4 linked regions of the Drosophila melanogaster genome follow. The protein of the gene in region 1 interacts with the protein of each later gene in a pairwise test. Each region holds a gene or a part of one and is shown in the gene's direction. Other genes may lie near its edges. The genes, in order: bocks, LamC, baf and Lam.

What was found.
Region 2: the proteins of bocks (region 1) and LamC interact in a two-hybrid assay, tested with the Drosophila melanogaster proteins (one study listed by BioGRID).
Region 3: the proteins of bocks (region 1) and baf interact in a two-hybrid assay, tested with the Drosophila melanogaster proteins (3 studies listed by BioGRID).
Region 4: the proteins of bocks (region 1) and Lam interact in a two-hybrid assay, tested with the Drosophila melanogaster proteins (one study listed by BioGRID).

Annotation. Positions count from the first base shown.
Region 1 is NT_033777.3:9,588,923-9,592,759, reverse strand, and holds bocks (bocksbeutel), read left to right. Parts: upstream 1-1,757; 5' UTR 1,758-1,830; coding exon 1,831-3,030; 3' UTR 3,031-3,292; downstream 3,293-3,837. Other genes in the region: P58IPK, read right to left, coding at 3,478-3,837. UniProt on the Drosophila melanogaster protein: Inner nuclear membrane protein. May have a role in maintaining the structural integrity of the nuclear lamina. During pupal development, plays essential and redundant functions with the other LEM domain proteins; MAN1 and Ote.
Region 2 is NT_033778.4:14,570,310-14,577,557, reverse strand, and holds LamC (lamin C), read left to right. Parts: upstream 1-1,786; 5' UTR 1,787-1,932; coding exon 1,933-2,333; intron 2,334-4,710; coding exon 4,711-5,305; intron 5,306-5,375; coding exon 5,376-6,181; intron 6,182-6,246; coding exon 6,247-6,367; coding exon of another isoform or gene 6,368-6,393; 3' UTR 6,394-6,748; downstream 6,749-7,248. UniProt on the Drosophila melanogaster protein: Lamins are components of the nuclear lamina, a fibrous layer on the nucleoplasmic side of the inner nuclear membrane, which is thought to provide a framework for the nuclear envelope and may also interact with chromatin.
Region 3 is NT_033779.5:8,027,730-8,031,124, forward strand, and holds baf (barrier to autointegration factor), read left to right. Parts: upstream 1-1,732; 5' UTR 1,733-1,878; coding exon 1,879-2,004; intron 2,005-2,086; coding exon 2,087-2,233; 3' UTR 2,234-2,836; downstream 2,837-3,395. Other genes in the region: CG7367 (uncharacterized protein), read right to left, coding at 1-210, 285-447, 509-650. UniProt on the Drosophila melanogaster protein: Plays fundamental roles in nuclear assembly, chromatin organization, gene expression and gonad development. May potently compress chromatin structure and be involved in membrane recruitment and chromatin decondensation during nuclear assembly.
Region 4 is NT_033779.5:5,540,678-5,547,191, forward strand, and holds Lam (lamin), read left to right. Parts: upstream 1-1,802; 5' UTR 1,803-1,983; intron 1,984-2,101; exon of another isoform or gene 2,102-2,647; 5' UTR 2,648-2,654; coding exon 2,655-3,117; intron 3,118-3,360; coding exon 3,361-4,064; intron 4,065-4,129; coding exon 4,130-4,831; 3' UTR 4,832-5,965; downstream 5,966-6,514. Other genes in the region: Hel25E (helicase at 25E), read right to left, coding at 295-413, 476-659, 756-979, 1,046-1,244. UniProt on the Drosophila melanogaster protein: Lamins are components of the nuclear lamina, a fibrous layer on the nucleoplasmic side of the inner nuclear membrane, which is thought to provide a framework for the nuclear envelope and may also interact with chromatin.

The DNA of each region.
Region 1 (3,837 bases):
AAAACAGCTGAAAACAGCAGCCAAAGGTTGTGTCAATGAACTGCGGTGGCGAATTCCCCAATTCCCCCAATTTGGGTTGCCTAATGTCATGGGCATGGGGCTAATCTTTTGTTAACAATTGTGATTTGGTTTATCGATGGAAGGCCTCTCACGTGACTTGGCTATCAAGCAATACCAAATATAGGCAATGACCGACTGAATAGAATGAAATGCCCAACACAAATTATATTGGTAACAATAAATAACATTTGGAGCTACTTGAAATCAGCAAATTCACATGTACAAGCCACTCCAAAAATAGCACCAAATATGTATGTGCCTAAATCACTGATATTAACATTTAGTTTGAAACCCCATTTCTTCCTTGCAACCCCCGATGCTTCTTTTTAGATGAATTCTTAATTATGAGTAAATATATCTTCATGAATACAATTGTTCAAATGCTCTTTGTGAGTACATTCCTTGGAATTCGTTATAAGTGCAACGTAAACAATATTTAAAGAATACCCGGTGGTCGGTCCTATTGGGCATTCTAAGCTGCAGAAGTGTAAAAAGGGTTGGTTTTATTGCTCACCTGGTGTTAATTGTTGCGGCAACAGGTAGTTCTTCTGGTGGAGTAGACTGGTGAACTGGACTGCCGATAAGAAGGAGGCCACGCGCAGAGTTTGAGTTTGGGCAATAGCAATATCGAAATGTAATAAACCAAATACCAGAAAGGCAATTACTCGTTCACTTTCGATTCGATCGGCCGATAAGGAATTTTACAGGGAAAACACGATGTCAACACGTTTAAACAAAGAACAAACGCACTTATTTTCTGTTTGCGCTTAACAAAAAAACAAAAACCCAAATACGAGGATATTTTTTTTTTCGTTTAGTATTTATATCTACTTTGATTCGTTGTTGTTTTTCACGTTTTATGTGTTTGTTTTTGTCCCGCTTGCTCTTTTTTGGGGCGCCTTTCTCGCTCTTGTCCGCTTTAACCGGTTTTTTGGTTTATGTTTATGCTGCTGCTTCTACTGCTGCTGTTGTTGCTGTTTTTGTTTCCCTTGCTCTTGCTTGGCTAAATGGAAAATATGCTGCAATTGCAGCCAGCAAATTGTCGAATGTTTCCAGCCACTTGCTTTGCTACTCGAAATCGATGCCAAAAACTTTAATAACACCCGCGATTGAGGTAAACAAAAGTGTAATAAGCGAAGTGAGGCACACACGCAGGCGCAGAAAAGCAAAAAGGTGAAGAAATATTGGCCGCCAAACAGGTGCAAATGATTCACGATTGTTTTTCCACAATCCACTGTTTATGTTACGATGCTATATCTCCTCAGTTTTCCGCACTGCGACTTGGGGATTTTCTTTGGCTTGGCGAGCGCTTTCCGCGCGGCGATTCGTTTAATTCGAGCGTCTTGTTTGCGATTGAACACCTGTTGCGCGTTCGATTTTCATAAAACTAACTGTGTGACCGTCGGGCGTTAGTTGAAATAAACCATAGCAAGCGTATCCAACCAGGTCTGGCAGCACTGCTGTAAATGTTTAGTTGTAGGCATTTTATAACACTGCACATGAGGCGATTGCACATAAAATATCGAGTTAAGTTTTTCTTCAAGTAGTTTGTTCTTCTGTCTGATGTTAAAAAATTGTTTTTACTTTCGTGCACAGCTCATCCAGCATATGAAATCTAGCTATAGTTTGTCAAACAACATTACTTTAGCAGCAATCGATAGGCGTGCACTTAGATTGAACATTCTATCGCTGCCGTTCCATCACTAATAGACAACATTGTGACGACATTGCTATTTTTGTGTGTTTTGAGTTTCACCACGGCGGAAAATAATGTCGGACCTTTCTTACCTGGACACGTTGGGCAACAAGGAGCTGCTGGCCAAGTGCCTGGAGCACGGCCTGCCCGGTGTTCCCGTGACGGACAGCACCCGCAGCGTCATAATTCGCCGACTAAAGGCCAAAATCACCGGGGTTCCGCTGAACAAAAGCAAATCTGCAAGTAAGAAAGCGATTCCGAGGCGTGAGACCGTACACGGCAGCCAGGTAACGACGCCCACATCGGAGCCAGTGCGTCGTACGCCCGGCAAGAGTGCAGGACGCACTAGCAGCAACAACAACAAGATCAGCGAACAAAGTCGTCGCACAATCGCCTATGGACTAGACAACACCTCGATCTCGGGAAGATCTGTGCAGACTACTACCACGGTGTCGGATATGAGCTCCCAGTCGGAGGACGACGACTCCTACATGGTGGACTCTCCGGTGCCTAATTACTCCAAGGACCAGCAGCCTAGACGTTATGTTTCTCTAGCCAAATCCGGAGTTTTGACCACATCTTACACACGCGAAGTTGACCAGCCGCTGTACGAACAGGAGGATATACCACGCAGCTACACCTACGAAAGACCCCATGTGCCAGCCGCCACTCTTCACGCACTTCCCACATACGAGCCACGCATCGAACCTTCGACATACAGACCCACAGATTTGGGTTTTTCGCGTCCCCTGCTGACTCAAACCAACTTAAACTCAACCAGCTACGAGGAGTCATCTACGTACAATCCAAAACTTTCACCCATTTCGCCAAGAAACACTTTCAGCGGATCCGCTAGGCCTTTTGGTGGCCCAGCACCAGCTCCAGCACCCATTCGCCAGCGACAGAGTGTTCCAGTTAGTGGATCCAATCTGGCCCGTGGTCGCCTGCTCCAGCCGACCACCGCAGTAAACACTCTATATCCACAACTAAATGAATTCTACGATCAGCCGAATGACGCAGGCGAACCCATGGAGACGGAGAGCGAGTCCGAAGTCGAGGAAGTACCCATCAATAGCCATTTCCAAAAGAATCGCTTCTCGCCGCTGGCTAGAAAACCTCTGGTAAGACACCACGATCAGGTTTCGCCTATGGCGCAGTTCCGTGCACTGGCGGTGTCATTGGATCAAAAATATAATCTCAAATTCTACTTAATATTGGTAGTGTCAGTGATGCTGGCCACCATGGTGTACGTGGTATTGACACCCAACGCCTGAGAAGCGTTCATATCGCGGAATACATTTGGTTTTGGTTACTCCACGCATTTCAACCACAGACTACAGCGAAGGAATATTTATGACGACTTTGCACCTTAAGACTACTACTTCAATTCCAAACATGTTCAAAACTAACAAATATTCAACTCAATTTGCCAAGTCTTTAATTGCTTGTTCTCGCATATTGTTTCTTTTTATACATAATTAGAAAAATGTACTACATTATAATTATTGTATTGTATTAAATAAACTAATTAAATGTAAGTGCTCAGTGTGTTTTGTTGCGATTTGTGTTTGTTTGTGGTACTCTCTGACAACGGACCATGGGTTTATTTATGCTTTATGCTACTATTTACACGCCATTTAAATGAACAAAACAGTGTAAAATCGTTAAAGGATATCGGGGATCGCGGCTAGGACATCACAAAGCAAATGGCTGCTGGCTGACTAATTGAAGTGGAACTTGAACTGGAACGGCGACCCGTGTTGGAAGTGTCCAAACGGATGTTCGCCATGGAAGCCGCCACGCTGATTGCTCTCAGGATCTAATGGATCCTCGCCGTTGTCGAATTGACGACGCTTCTCGGGATCCGTGAGAACCTCCTTGGCTGCGGCAATGTCAATAAACTTTTTCTCGGCCACCTTCTTTTCCTCGTCGCGGAAGTTGTCCGGATGCCACTTTTGCGCCGCCTTCCTGTAGGCCTTCACAATCTCCTGTTTGCTGGCGCTACGCTTAACGCCTAATATCTTATAGTAATCCCTGCGCTCTGACTGCTTCTGCAGCTTCTTTGCCCTCTGGATGCCTTC
Region 2 (7,248 bases), on another chromosome or scaffold:
ATAATCAACCATTCCATTGAGTAAATTTCCCTTTGCCCTCATTCTTATCAATTTGTAATCTTAATCCCCAGCTATTCATCAAGCTAAAAAAAAAACTCAGCTAGAATACTTTGAAGACAAAAAACAAAAAAACACAAAGAACAGAATAATAATAAAACCAAACAAAGTCCAAATGAGACAACAAACACAAACATTTAACATCTGGTTAGGCTTTAATGTTCGTTTTTTTTCCACACACACAAACGGGCTCATTAATTAATTTTAATTAGCTAACGCTCACAGCTTACAAACGGATCACAAGTATAATTATAATTTCGAAAAGGGAAGTGGCGAGTTTGGGTAAGAAAATAATTTCAACGCTCGTTCATGATTAAAAATAATTCGGTGACGTCACAGAGAAGCGGCTACGTTTTGGAGGTCAGTGCTATATACACTCGATTTACTTTTTTCTCCGTCTTTCGTTTTTTTTTTTTTGTCGTTTTTCTTTGCTTGACTGCCTCTCGGGTGGTGACGTCACGGGCGTCGTTAACATTGCACGAGAAGTTCACATATTTTCTCACAGCGTGTGTTGAGACAGAGAATTCACAGCTCTCTAGTTCTCTCACTCTCATTGCGATTCTCAGGGGCAAAATAAAAAACAGTTTGCCGGCTATTTTTTGCATTTGAAAATAAAAGTTGGCAAAGGGGGAAAAATCGCTCTGCCACTTTTTAGGTGCTTATTTATTTATTATGACTGTGGGGCATCTACAAAAGCGTTCCAGTAAACTCAATGTCAATAAATATTTCACTTATGACATGTTCACACTACGCCAAGCCGTTTTCCACCAACCACCAACCACCACCACCCACCAGGAATGTTATGTACTGGTGCTACTCCCAGTCGTATTTCATAATTTTGGACAAGTCACTGGGCCATAATTGACCCGCCGCTGATCGATAAGCTCGAGTGACACATTGCGCATTCGAACTGTGGGCCAAATGGCACGGAATTGATGATATGTGGGCGGGCGTTCATTGTGGTCGCTTTTCATGTGTCGCAATCTCTATTAAGGGAACTACATTATGCGGCCAACGAAAATCGAACAAATCATAATGAAAATGTGTGGCCAACGGGTGGAAGAATGTAATGATGCCGAAGGGAAATGTTCGTTAGGCAATGTTCAAACATATGCATAGATGGGTTATATTCCAACGTTTTCAAATCTTACAAACTATTTTCTAAAGTTTACTCCATTTCTTTTTCTAGTAAAATTTCTAATTCTGTAGCACTTAGCGCGTTCATTAACCTTGGGCAACTCAATGAAGATCTTATTGAAGATTGGAATGCATCGCTGGGATTCCGCCTAAAGGTACAGTGCAGCTTCTTTAAAAAGAACACTGTAAGTTTAATGCTAGAACTTAACAAAAACATGTGTTTCTTACAAATTTCTTTCATTTTATATTAAAACACGATTTTCAAGATTTTTAAAGATTTTCCAGAGAAGTAAAACAAAATGTAAAGAACTCGTTTTTGGGACCAGTTGGTGTGTTTGTTAGTTGTTCGATTTCTATTTAGAGTTCCAGCGGCACAAACAGCTGTACATAGGAAAGCACAACAACTCTTACATATGCGAATGGGAAAGCGAATATGGTGGAAGGCGAAACAACAATAATACTAAAGCCAAAAGGTGAGAGCGGAAAAAATAGAGAGAGCAGCGCCGCATTCGTGTTGTATTTGGTTTTTTATGACCGCCGCCGCCGACGACGACTAATTTTGTCGATGATAGCCGTTCGTTTCGAGTCAAAGTTTCAGTCAATTTTTAGTCGTCAAAGCAGGCGGACGTCCAAGCAAAAAAAATTCAGAATCAAAAATATTGACAGTGACTTGAGAGGATTACGTACTTAACTTAGCAACTCGCACCTCGCAAAAAGAAAAGAAAACACATTGCAAAAATGTCAGCACGCCGCGTCACATTGAACACACGCGTTTCGCGCGCCTCCACCTCCACGCCGGTGGGCGGGGCATCCACCTCGTCAAGGGTGGGCGCCACCTCACCCACCTCGCCCACGCGCACCAGCCGGCAGCAGGAGAAGGAGGAACTGCAGCATTTGAACGATCGCCTGGCCTGCTACATCGATCGCATGCGCAACCTGGAGAACGAGAACAGCCGGCTCACCCAGGAACTGAATCTCGCCCAGGATACCGTCAACAGGGAGACCTCTAATCTGAAGGCGGTCTATGAGAAGGAGCTGGCCGCCGCTCGCAAGCTGCTCGATGAGACCGCCAAAGAGAAGGCCAAGCTTGAGATCGATATCAAGCGTCTGTGGGAGGAGAACGACGACTTGAAGCCCAGGTAAAGCTCCAAGACGGCGGGTTCAGGTTTGGGCTCGGAATTGGTAACAGCGTATTATCAGCCAGTGATGTCATATGTACATATGTACCCATGCCGGGCCACTGGAGCGCGAGACACAGGCAGAAAATGGGGGCAACTTTGGGAGCCTTGTCAAGAAAATGTGGAATCAATAATGCACAGCACGAAAAGCAGCGAAATTTCTTCGATTTGTAAAGTAAAAGTACAGTCAGTCGAGATTTCTAGAAATGCACTACTTTTTATCAAATTGTTTTTTTTTTTTTACTTTTTTGTTGTATTTTGTATTGAAATAAGCGAATTTTATATTTATTTCTTAGGTACAGTTGACCTAGAAGTTCAATTCCAGCTATGTAGTTATGTAGCGAAAACAATAACAAATTGTTTTATTTATAAAGGCAATATATTTAATTTTCATATTTCATGCTATTCGTAAGAAGAAAAGAGTTTTAGTAAGATACAAACTTCAGTTTCCATGGTTGTTTTTTTTTTATATGTAGGGAGTGACAGAGACAGACAGAGAACGGGGCAGACTGAGAGCGAGCGAGGCCGATGATGTCATGCCAAAAGCACATTTTGAAAGCCAAGCACATGGGAAACTCTCTCGACTCTTTCGCTGTTGTTTATTTTTTGCATTTACACTTCCAGAATTCTCTAGGCATTTTTATGCAAATGTTTAGTTCTCAGCTAATGTGTGAGTAGTAAACCAAAAGAAACCCAATGAAAATCAAAAAGGAAGAATCGAAATACCGCCGTAAATCTCAATGAAGGTTACAAGACTATGATGTCATATGGCACTCAGTTACAGATCCATTTGTAATACCAGTTTCTGGTGGGAAGTCAACAAAAGTTGGGTTGCTTAGCTTTTCCACTTGCGAGATTTCCGTTTCGCGTCGTTTGCGTTATCATATTTATTTTTGGTATTTACTGCGCGATGAGGCCCAAAGCTTTTTCAATTCATAATAGCCACAATTTGTTGTTTGTGCGTTTTGCAATGCGTTAACGAAGTTAAGAGTTTGGCTAAAAGGCGGGTGCCTAAATGTTGGGTAAACTTGATTTTTCGGCTACTTAAGGTGTGGCTTATACGTTGAGCAACGGACCGGAATAACCAAGGAAATTGTTTATGATGATTACGATTAGATACGATAAGATTGCAGCAGAATTATGGAACTTGTGATAAAAGATTTATCTTTTGTTGAGTGTCCATATTGCTTAAATTATTTTCATTTGTGAATGCTGGCTGTGCTTAATTATTTTAAATTTTTTTTTGAAGAATTTAGAAAGCCAAATATATTTTCATATTTATTCTTTGGTGACAATAGCATACATATGTACAAGCGAATTAGGTCAGCGGAAGGAATTGGGGAGGAAAAATGGAACTTTAACACGCTCACACAAAACGCACAAAAAAGGGGGAAATTTATGAAAATCTAGAACGCAAACAAAACAACCTTGAATCTATTTTGTTTTTATATTTCCCCATTTTTACACAACTTTTCTTGATTAGCTACGAAAACTGTTTACATTTTCTCGTTGCAACAGCAAAAACCGAAAGAAAATCGATAAAACAGAATAGAAGATTTTCAATCCATGAAAATAAACTTTCAAAAATGGTCAACACAATCGCCGTAAAAGGCGCCAAACTATATATATAATTTTAATTACGTTTTCATTGAACGCATGACATGCAAAGTCAATTATTTCATAGTTGAAATTATTGGATTTGTTATAGAGAATAATTTAAAACGTGCCGACCACGCGAGTCGCCGATTGACAACCAAAATTGATATCCGAAAATATGCAGGGATTATTTGTGGAATTTTCGTAGCTATTTTTTATAGCGAGTTTGTTTTTGCCTAAATAGAATTTCAAATACAAAAAATAAAAGGCGCTCATAAATCACAGGGGGTGGTGGGGTTTCGCAGGGGGGACGGGGTGAACTGGTCAGAAATAGCCGGGCTACTTTATGCTAATGGCATGTGACGACTTCTCCCAAGGCAAACAAAAACCTCGAAATGTTTGAGTATTTGATTCTTCTATGGAGGAGGATCGATGAACGAGTTTCCAAGCGACTATAGCATTTAAATAAATGAAATGAATAATACATAAGCGATATAAAGAGAGCGGTTTAGCTTTCGCAAACAAATGTGAGTCGCAATGTGACTCAGTTATAATTATATAGATAAGTGACGTCATTCAATGAGCACATGTAGATAAAAGCAAAAAAAACAATTGCTCCTATGAACCGCCTAAATTTCGATAAGGGATTACTCAGGCAAATAGGCTGATTAATTATTAAATTAAAAAGTTCTTTGTTATAAAAGATTATTAATTTTTAAACCAAATCCATTTTAAATTTAAGACTCGACAAAAAGACGAAGGAGGCTACCGTGGCAGAGAACAATGCCCGCCTGTATGAGAACCGCTACAACGAGGTGAATGGCAAGTACAACCAATCGTTGGCCGATCGCAAGAAGTTCGAGGATCAGGCCAAGGAGCTCGCTCTGGAGAACGAACGCCTGCGCCGCCAACTGGATGATCTTCGCAAGCAGCTGGAGGCGGAGACGCTGGCCCGCGTCGATCTGGAGAACCAGAACCAGAGCCTGCGCGAGGAGCTGGCCTTCAAGGATCAGGTGCACACCCAGGAGCTCACCGAGACCCGATCCCGTCGCCAGATCGAGATCAGCGAGATCGATGGCCGACTGTCGCGTCAATACGAGGCCAAGCTGCAGCAATCGCTCCAGGAACTGCGTGATCAGTACGAGGGTCAAATGCGCATCAATCGCGAGGAGATCGAGCTGCTGTACGACAATGAGATCCAGAACCTCAAGGCTGCTGCCAATAGGGCTGCCCAGGGATCCGCTCTTGCCACCGAGGAAGTCCGTCTCATGCGCACCAAGATCGATGGCTTGAACGCCAAGCTACAGAATCTGGAGGACACCAATGCTGGCTTGAATGTGAGTACTGCAATTGCCAAACTAAATTCCCCGTGTGATTTTAATGTTGACATTTTCTCATTTACCATAGGCTCGCATTCGGGAGCTGGAGAACCTCTTGGACACGGAGCGCCAGCGCCACAACCAGTACATCGCCTCCTTGGAAGCCGAACTACAGCGTATGCGCGACGAGATGGCTCACCAGCTGCAGGAGTACCAGGGTCTGATGGACATCAAGGTGTCGTTGGATCTCGAAATTGCCGCTTACGACAAACTGCTGTGCGGTGAGGAGCGTCGCCTGAACATCGAGTCGCCCGGACGCCCGACTACCGACTCCGGTATCTCCAGCAATGGCAGCCACTTGACCGCCAGTGCCAGTTCCCGATCCGGCAGGGTCACGCCCAGTGGCCGTCGCTCGGCTACACCTGGCATCTCTGGATCCAGCGCCGTGAAGCGTCGCCGCACCGTGATCGATGAGAGCGAGGATCGCACTCTGTCCGAGTACTCGGTGAATGCCGCCGCCAAGGGAGATCTGGAGATCATCGAGGCGGACGTTGAGGGACGCTTCATCAAGCTGCACAACAAGGGAACCGAGGAGATCAATCTGACTGGCTGGCAGCTAACCCGCATTGCCGGCGACGAGGAACTGGCCTTCAAGTTCTCGCGCGGATCGAAGGTACTCGGCGGTGCTAGTGTAACCATTTGGTCCGTCGATGCTGGTACCGCACATGATCCACCCAACAATCTGGTGATGAAGAAGAAGTGGCCGGTGGCCAACTCGATGCGATCGGTGCTGGCCAATGCCGACAAAGAGGTGAGAGTCTTGTCCATATACAACACATGCGGCACTTGCGACATCTGCCGCCACTGCAGACACCTCGAATTCGTGCTCGACCAGTACGATATGCCATAGACCTTTGCATATTTCGACTATAATTTACGTTATATCTTTTGCCTTTCAGGATGTTGCCAGCTACGACCGTGTCCGTGCTAACGTTTCCAGCCACACCTCGCGGCATCGCAGCAGTGGCACGCCCAGTACGGGCTTTACCCTCGGTTCCGGAGCTGGCTCCACTGGCGTGAGGAGCCTCTTCTCCCTGCTCTTCTAGGCGGGAGCTTCAACTTCGAATCGGACTGGCTTGGCTTGGATCCTGAGGCCCAGCCAAACAAAACCCAACTCACCGCAGAGACTCACAGACTCCGAGCTGCACATTCAAACCACACACAGATCTGTTCTGCATATCAAGCTTATTGTGAAACTATGTACAACAATCAAAACTTGTTCAACTCTTAATGTTAAATGTTTAAGTGACCTTAGTACATGTCTTTGACTCTATGCGTCTCCTATGTTTAAGTAAGTTTTTTCACGCTCTACACCCTACTCTCACTCTCTCTCTCTGTAATTTATGACGAGAACATGCATTTTGGTAAAAATACAAAAATAAACAAACAAATAAATGTTACAAGAAAGTTGGCTGGAAAATCAATTAATGAGATTTAGCCGTGCGGTCGCCTGCGTTGATATCTTTTTTGCGAGGAAGCCAAATCGGCTTAGGCCAGTGGAAAACTTCTTGAGATGCTGTCGCGGCATTTTGCACTATCTGGGATCCAGGACCATGGGCCAGGCCATAATGGACAGGTAAGTGGGGGAAATTAACTACAAGAAGTCAGGTGGACAGGTGCAGCTGGGAGCAAAACTGTGGGCTAAAACCGAACGAGGTCAACGAAAAAGTTTCGCAACTTTACAACTTGAAAATAAATTAGGTTGGATCACTGGGAAAGGTCGAGCAAACCGAAGCAAAAGTTTTTAATGGAGCAAATATACAGCTTCAGGGCAGTTGTAGAAATATACTATTTAACAATTCTAGGGCTGCCATTCAAACTAATAAACGACTCGTTTCGGATACAAAAATAATGCTTAGAAATACATATGTGCAATAAAAGCCAGTTGTACTAGTTCGTTT
Region 3 (3,395 bases), on another chromosome or scaffold:
ACGTTCACCTGGCCACGTTCGATATAGGCACCACGAATCGATTGAATCGAATTGCTCATGGTGCTGGACTTCCAGCCGTGAACGAGTATCTTGGTGTCCAGTTCCGGATTGAATTTCTCCGCCATCTCCTGCCAGGTGTCTCGCTTGTGGCGCTGCGGAAACTCAAAGTTATTCTCATCTATCCAGAAATCAGCACTGGAACTGGAGTCGCTGGAATAAAAGGATTCAAATTGTGACCACTACGAAAGATAACTCTTCAAATCAAATAAAAAAAAACCACACACCTTCCGTACAGCTCGAACTTGATGAGCTGTGGCAGATTGATGCGGTTTTCGGGCGGAGGTTCCACCAGATAGGCCACCTCAGGCTTACCCTGTCCATTGGGCATGTAGATCCAGGTTTTGTTGTAATCCTCCTGATTTAGAGCCACCTCACCACGAATGCCAACTAAAATGGAGCAGAAACTTATGCTTAGAAGGATGGCTAAATCGAATTGAAAACATTTTACAAAGCAGCAGCACGGGTCGCACCACTTGGGCGAGGGCAGCGAATCCGGTGATGAGCCACTGCACCACCACAAATGTGGTGGACACCTCGTTGCGACACGGATTGATCACATTACAGATGCAGGCCAGCGCATTCGAGGACATCTTGACCAGCTAAACGTCGATCTTGAACTGATCGGACGCCGGATTCCAAAGATCGGAGCTCCCAGCTCCCAGTTTCCCAGCTTCCCAGATCCAAGCTCATTAAGGCGGCTGACGCATTAGTAATCCTCGAAACCGGTTCCAGCCCAGCAATTAATTTGTGGCCTGGAGCGTTTTAATTACTCAGCATCAGTGTGCGCGCGAATCTCGGTCAGGTGAGACAAAGCCACATATGTATATCCGTTTCCCCGTAACTCCCAACTCACCCATCCAACAACTAAGGGCCAGGCCACAAAGCCAGCAAAGCGCTAACATCTCTGTACCAAAGTCGACGTCACTGTGCCACGGGAATCGGGTGTGTGGATTTTATAGCGTACGATAAGCTAGACGAGGGCCAGGTGTCAATCAAGACTGGAGTTTTGGACGGACTGCTGGCCAGGTTGAAGCCTCGGTCGGAAGGGTCTCGGCGTTATCATTCCAACTCAGTTGGGCGTCCCAAGCGCGGCGCTGTTAAATTGGGTTAAGCCCAGTTCATCGGTGCATACTAATCTAAGGTGCGTTGCCCCGGTATTGAAAAGTGGAACAATATAAATATTTGAAAATATGTTCGGTAATTTAGTTAAATAAGTTACAATAACAATTACATTTTTATAAGTGTTTTTATGAAAAATGCTACATCTTATGTACACATAGATTAAATATTATTTAGATTTTCAGCGATGGCTATGTAAATTTTTCACAAATGCAATACTTTAATGCACTAACATTATAACAAATTTCAAATTTATAGAAAACTTTAAGTATTCAAAATCTAAAACGGTCATGTAAAATACCATACATCAAACCATGTAAGCATACATCTTACATGTAAAATATTGCTGGCATTTGACCTAAGTAGATTAAGTAGATTACAAAAATATGTAATCCGCAATTTCAAAGAAACATTTTTGAGTGCATCTTATAAAACTCTATTTTTTGCCAATGCTATGTAAAAGAATAATTAAACTTTGTTAATTGTTGGGTGCGCAAATGAGTAAAGCCAGAATTACGTGGCCTATTACATTGCCTAATTTTGTTTAGTATATCTAGATGTGTTGTTGCATTTTCGAAAATATCACTTGCTGCCACACTGGCTGTGCGTCATTTTCAGAAACGCCGCGAATATTTTGCCATTGAAATCTAGCTAAGCATTGGAATTTCGCAACGTGCAGCAGCAAAGCAAACTACAAACATGTCGGGCACATCGCAGAAACACAGGAACTTCGTTGCGGAGCCAATGGGCAACAAGTCGGTGACGGAACTGGCCGGAATTGGGGAAACCCTCGGTGGACGCTTGAAGGACGCTGGATTCGATATGGTGCGTGTGTAAATACGATGACGCCATGTGCGCAAATAAACAATGCCAGTCAAGTGCTAACGATCATTTCCATTCGTTTTAGGCCTACACCGTTTTGGGACAGTATCTGGTGCTGAAAAAGGACGAGGAGCTGTTCAAGGACTGGATGAAGGAGGTGTGCCACGCCAGCTCCAAACAGGCATCCGATTGCTACAACTGTCTCAACGATTGGTGCGAGGAGTTCTTGTAAGAGGTGGACACACAAGCCATCCGAGTAATTCGATCAAAAGGAATCTGCTAAAGGCATCGGCCAATCATTTTTATTCGCAGTCAACGAAAGTGGCCCAATGCTAGCTAAGCATTTGCCGTGTTCACTGTTAGTATGTATAGCTGTAGGGTGTAATTTAATGTCTAATCCGAATAAATGTACAGTCATGGAAACGATCCTGCATTTGGATCTCTGTTCTGCGAAAAGTACAGTAGGTGTAAAACATTTGTTGCTGGCCGGCGAAGCAGCCTAATGCAGATTTTTATTAATTTGATTAGGGGACAACAATAAGCAACACTATAGAAGGCAGATCGGTTGGCGACTATATCTTCTCTATGTTTTCGATTGTTGGCGAGTAGGAGTCTCTGACTCGCTGAAATAAGCCTCTGTCTTTTTGATGTTTCTTTATCAGCGGGCTGATGTCGCCTAATTTTGAAATCTATTTCTTTTTGTTTTTCGGAAATGATCTTTTATAATGATGGACTTAGAACCTTTTAAATCCCAATCGCTGTTTTGTTTGGGGATTATGTGTAAGCGGTTAATATATATTTTATAATGAAACCCCTTTTGTCAAAATTAATTGTCCTCGAGTAATTAATTAGTACCGAGTATTTGATTATAAATACAACTTTTTTTAAATAAAAATATATATTTTTAAAAACTTATTTTTAAAGTGAGTGGTATTAAATAGGATTTCTTTTCCCTGAAGTGGTATCATATGGTATTTATTTTTGGTCCCGTGGTATTTTTTATCGTTATCGGCGCGGTCACGCTGCTAAGAATTACATTACGCGTGAATACCAATGAAAATTAAGAGAGAAATTGCAAAACACAGCCAAGCGGTGCAATAAATCGCAAAGTAAGAGGCGCAAAACGCGCAAATACCGTTTGCGCGGTTAAAAAATGCAAAAACACCAAACGATAGATTAAACAAAGTGAAATTAACTCGGCTTTGGCATATGCGAACACCAGTGTGCCAGTGTGTGTGTGTTTTTCTTTGTATATAGACTCGCAGAGCGAGACGGCCATACACGACGGCAGACGGGACGGTGCAGGTGCGCGAGTGCGAGCGGGAAAAAGGCTGTGCGGTCACTGCTACTCTGTGTGTTATTTCAGAGTTACAGGCCAAACATTCTGATGTGCG
Region 4 (6,514 bases), on another chromosome or scaffold:
CTGCTTGTTTATGCTTTTGCAACGGTTGCCAATTTCCACGATTAACCATTTAGAAAATGGTGTCCGATAGTCATTAACTAAGTTTTTCGATACGAGTTATGCTCACAGAGCGCTGGACGTTTGGTTGTACGCGTTTAACCATTTGCAAGATGGTGGTTGGCTTATACGGAGGGGATCAAGATCGAATGTTCGATATCGCGTGGCATTAACAAAATAATAACTAATTGTCGTGATAGCGGTGGATGCGAGGTGGAGAAGTACGAGCATTTTGGTTATGAACACGTTGATATTTACATCTTGCATGAACTTTTTGCAAACGGGACGAATGTCCTTGCTCAATGTGGCAGAGAACATCATCACTTGTTTGCCGTGCGGCGTGCTACGGAAAATCTCTTGAACGTCACGACGCATATCTAAAAGAATGGTTTGGTTATTAGTAAAACGTCCGTCATTTGGTGATTATTAGTCAACTTACCCAGCTGCTCCAGCATCTTGTCGCACTCGTCGAGCACAAAGTGCTTCAAAAGCTTCAGATTAAGTTTCTTGTTGCGAATGAGGGCGAGAATTCGGCCAGGGGTGCCCACCACAATATGCGGGGTGCCGCTCTTGAGGGTCTCCTCGTCCTTTTGAATAGCCATTCCGCCAAAGAAGACAGCCACCTAAATAGAAAACATATCGAATTAATATATAGTAACTATATAGTCGAACCAAACTTTTTGTTGAATTATATACAATGGATTAAAACGTAGACTCACCTTGACTGTGGGCATGTACTTGGAGAATCGCTCATACTCCTTGCTGATCTGGAAGGCCAGCTCGCGGGTGTGGCACATGACCAGGACGTGGCAGGTGTTGTTGTCCGACGGCTCCAGCTGCTGCAGCGTGGCCAGAACGAAGACGGCGGTCTTACCCATGCCGGACTTGGCCTGACAGAGGATGTCCATGCCCAGTACGGCCTGCGGAATGCACTCGTGCTGAACTGCAAGCGGAGAGCATCGTTAGTGACTGTACCTTTCGTCACTCCAGGTGGAGTGCAAGTACTCACCCTCCGAGGGATGCTCGAAGCCGCAGTCCACGATGGCGCGCAGGATCTCCGGTTTCAGGAGGAAATCGCGGAAGCCGGAACTGTGAATGGACACATAGGTGCCCTTGACATCCTTCTTGGGGGCCTCCTGGTTTTCGACCGCAGTGGTCTCGGTCTGCTCCTCATCCTCGTAGTCCAAAAGATCGTCATTGTCGGCCATTTCTGCGGCTTTCTTACCTTTAACTAGTTATCGGCTATAAATTCGCAACTAAATGCTGGGAAATAAAATGGGTGCGACTAGATAAGTTACATGTGTTTGTTAAAGAAAATGCCGCTTTTTTTTGCGGAACCGGTGCCGGCGTTCCCTCCGCCATTTTGTTTTTTCACCGCACCGCATTACATGTATTTCGAAATAAAACGAAATACCCATTACAAGCGACGATTTTATTTAGTGCAGTGTGATTTTCAGTGTCAAACTCACCTTTTGTGCACGTTTATCACTTTAAAATACAGCTTTTAAAGTGAAATTAACTATTTTAAAATCTTTAACGTGATGCGGAGGAAAAAACAGCGCAGAGCAGTGTGACCGAAGTACGTTTAAGAACTCATGCGAGCTGAGCCGGGTGATATCGTTAAGTTATCGATAGTTGTGCACAACAAATCCATTTGTAAGCTTCAACTAAAAAGTTTTTATAAAATATATGCCTTCTAACGCTTTAAATTAAAATGGCTTGTTGAGCTTAAATTTAATTTTTTTTTTATCATTTTGGGGTCAAGCGGTTCTTAGTCTTTTATCTAGCGCGGCGTTTGGTCACACCAGGCATGCCGGAAAGTTATCGATTAGTCTCTGAAACCATCGCAACAAATTCGATTACACGTTCCAGCGTCGGCCGCGTTTTCCTGCTGCAAGATACTTCATTTTCAAATTTGTGCATTTTCCGTTCGTTATAAAAAGTCAGGTGAGTTGCGCTGCTATCTACGAGCATTAGGAAAACTTGTAGAAAAAGTTGAAATAACTGATTAAGTGCCGAACAATAGAGGCGGCACTGTTTCACTCAAAATCGAAATAACCCCCCTGCCTGTATTAGTGTAAAGTCGCTGTAAATATTGAATTAAAATCGCCATATTGTGCAATTTTTGGCTCCTTATCAAATCGTTTAAAGTGCGTCGACTGGATTAGCTAAGCGTTGCGATTGATTAAACTAGTATTAGCCGCGCCATTTGCCTCCACGCCCATAAACAAACGCCGACAAACTCACTTCGTTTTCCTCGTCCGCTTTAGTACAGTCGCTTGAGTGGAAAGCGATGTGCGTGTGTGTGAGTGAGACGTAGAGGAGACTGCGAGAGAGAGAGAGAGCGCGTTAGAGAAACTCGTTTAGCTTCTGTTTTTGAGCGTTTTGTGCGTTTCCCCTCTTTCGTGTTCGGTTCTGTTTGGAATTTTATCAGGGCGCAAAAATAACATACCCTACACCGAACGAAAAAGTTCAAATATAAGTATTGCATATAAAACGCGTTTAGAAGGCACGCAATTGTGTTATTCAACTTTTCTTCAAGTGTTGTGTCCTAAAGAGGTCAGTCACAAAAATCTCACGTGTTATTCTGCACATTTCATTTGTCTTGCAGCGTGAACATGTCGAGCAAATCCCGACGTGCTGGCACCGCCACGCCGCAGCCCGGCAACACCTCCACCCCCCGGCCGCCATCGGCGGGTCCGCAGCCGCCGCCGCCGTCCACTCACTCGCAGACGGCCTCCAGCCCCCTCAGCCCCACCCGGCACTCGCGCGTGGCCGAGAAGGTGGAGCTGCAGAACCTGAACGATCGCCTGGCCACCTACATTGACCGGGTGCGCAACCTGGAGACGGAGAACTCCCGCCTCACCATCGAGGTGCAGACCACCAGGGACACGGTCACACGCGAGACCACCAACATCAAGAACATCTTCGAGGCCGAGCTGCTGGAGACGCGCCGTCTGCTCGATGACACAGCTAGGGATCGCGCTCGTGCCGAGATCGATATCAAGCGTCTCTGGGAGGAGAACGAGGAGCTCAAGAACAAGCTGGACAAGAAGACCAAGGAGTGCACCACTGCTGAGGGTAAGTGCGTGGAAACTGAATCGATAAGAAAACCTTATAATTGTAGGGCAAAGAAAGTAGAGTAATGATAAAATTAAAAGTAAGAAGAGACAAAAGGCGTGGTTTCAAGCAAGAACGAAACATTCATTTAGTTGCTGAACTGTATATAATGATTATCCCATGATATTCCTCACTTTCTGTGACAAAATCATCCCTATTCTGGCATTTAACGAACATTAATTGATTGATTATCCCAACCCGCAGGCAATGTCCGCATGTACGAGTCGCGCGCCAACGAGCTGAACAACAAATACAACCAGGCCAACGCCGATCGGAAGAAGCTTAACGAAGACCTGAATGAGGCGCTAAAGGAGCTGGAGAGACTGCGTAAGCAGTTCGAGGAAACGCGGAAGAACCTGGAACAGGAGACACTGTCGCGCGTTGACCTGGAGAACACCATTCAGAGTCTGCGCGAGGAGCTCTCGTTCAAGGATCAGATCCATTCGCAGGAGATCAATGAGTCGCGCCGCATCAAACAGACAGAGTATAGCGAGATCGACGGTCGCCTCAGCTCCGAGTACGATGCCAAGTTGAAGCAGTCGCTGCAGGAGCTGCGCGCCCAGTACGAGGAGCAGATGCAGATTAATCGCGATGAAATCCAGTCCCTCTACGAGGACAAGATCCAACGACTGCAAGAGGCCGCCGCACGCACATCCAATTCCACGCACAAGTCCATCGAGGAGCTGCGCTCCACTCGTGTGCGTATCGATGCGCTCAACGCCAATATCAACGAACTGGAGCAAGCCAATGCCGACCTCAATGCGCGGATCCGTGATCTGGAGCGCCAGCTGGACAACGATCGCGAACGCCACGGTCAAGAGATAGACCTTCTCGAGAAGGAGCTCATTCGGCTGCGCGAAGAGATGACGCAACAGCTCAAGGAGTACCAGGACCTTATGGACATCAAGGTTAGCTTTAATACTTGTCTAAAATCGTGTACGTATTAATACATAAATCTAATTATCCTGCTTAGGTCTCCCTGGATTTGGAAATCGCCGCATACGACAAGCTGCTGGTGGGCGAGGAGGCTCGTTTGAACATCACCCCAGCCACCAACACGGCCACAGTGCAGTCCTTTAGCCAGTCGCTGCGCAACTCCACGCGAGCCACGCCATCGCGTCGCACTCCCTCTGCTGCCGTGAAGCGCAAACGCGCCGTGGTCGACGAGTCGGAGGATCACAGCGTCGCCGATTACTATGTGTCCGCCAGTGCCAAGGGCAACGTGGAGATCAAGGAGATCGATCCCGAGGGCAAGTTCGTAAGGCTGTTCAACAAGGGCAGCGAGGAGGTGGCCATCGGTGGCTGGCAGCTGCAGCGGCTAATCAACGAGAAAGGTCCTTCGACCACTTACAAGTTCCATCGATCGGTGAGGATCGAGCCAAATGGCGTGATCACCGTTTGGTCGGCGGACACCAAGGCCTCGCACGAGCCGCCATCGAGCCTTGTGATGAAGTCACAGAAGTGGGTCTCCGCCGACAACACTAGGACGATTTTGCTGAACTCCGAGGGCGAGGCCGTGGCCAATCTGGATCGCATCAAGCGCATTGTGTCCCAACACACATCCTCCTCCCGGCTGAGTCGTCGTCGCAGCGTGACCGCCGTGGACGGCAATGAGCAGCTCTACCACCAGCAGGGCGATCCTCAGCAGTCAAACGAGAAGTGCGCCATTATGTAAAATCAAACGCAGCACAACACAACTCTTTCCTCTTTGCTGAACAAGACAAACAAAATAAGCACACACGAAGATCATAATTTAGAACCCAAAAACACACACACCGAGGTACAGAGATTTATTATTCAGCTAAGTTATTTTTTGTGGCCGCAGCGCCAATTATTTAATCAAAAACATTTGTGTAGAAGACATCCTGAATCTTCGTTTCGTTTGTACACTTTCGTTTTCCCTTTCTTAACAAATTCTATAGTTTATTGTTTCGATGTTTTTGTATTTCCGCGTTAACTAATCTATTGTAAACTTTATTTGGTATAAACTGGAGAGGCATGTTGCCTCTTTTTTATGCCACATAGAATTTACGTAAGACGTTCACTTCTTGTATTCGCGGCGGCAAGAACTTTGAAAATATTGCAAGAAAAACAATATTTTCGATGTACTTACGCTCCACCTACATATTTAGTAAATTAGTTTTTAAGCTATATCCCAGATAAACCAGTCGACGTCAGCAAACAACAACAAAAAAAAAACAACGAGCACGTAGTGAGTGATTTATAAGATACAGGTCAAGAGGATTAACTAAAGAAAACAAACGCTCCTGACAACAGACATATTTATTTAAGTATTTTTTGTACAATCAACATAAAATACATTATACATTATACATACATATACATACATACATTATATATATAGACTCATGCCTACGGAAGTGACAACCAGCCAGCAATATATATTTTTAGCCATGGCCATAGGGTTTACGATCCACCAAAACGGCTTTCTCCCGGTTTAGACCGGTTCTTGAGCTTCCTGCAGACATTTTACCGGACGAGCAACAATAAGAACAGCAACAACAACAACAGCATTAACAGCAACAACACAAATGTACAACAATTACAAAAGCAACAAAGAAGAAAAACGAAAGAAAATGGAAGTACACGTAGCGGCTCAGCGATCCGTCGCATTTTTTATGGGTGGGCGTGGTCGCGTTTTACGCCGGCCAAACAAATGCAACGCCCACACAGACTATTATACAAAAACTGATGAATACAACTAAATTTTAAGTACATCTACGTTTATGTATGTAATTGCTAATAATTTGATAATTAAAAAATAAAGAAACCATGTTTAATAAAAATTAAAAACAAACTTTGATTTAGCAATAGAGAGAAAGACATAAAAAAGTATTAAATAGTTTTAAAGCGTATACTGAAACCAATAAGCTCCTACGAATTTCGTAATAGTAGGGTACGCATTTCACTTTCGACGCCTGGTGGCCCTTTTTTCGTCACTCGCTTTGCGTTTCTATTCGTCGCCATGAGTTATTTTTGGAATTTTAATTTTTCTGCGTCTGTATTAGTTGCCTACATGCTTTTTCAATGCGTGTGTTCGCTCATAAACTTTATTTTTGAGTGACTTATCGATTATTTTTGAGTGCAGGACGTTTCAAAACCAACGTGCTTTCGCATTTATAAATATAATTTCTCTTCTTCTTCCGACCATGATTGTTTCTTTTAAAAATGTTAGGTGTCAACCCTGTCGATAGAGAAGAGAGCAAAATCCACTCAAACGAAACGCACTCAACGCGAGAGATGCGGTTAAAGTTCGTTCAACTGGCAAATGCAGTGACCGTTTAACCCGCGATAACGATAACAAAAGTATCTCAAGGTTGCTTGCAATTGCATTTCT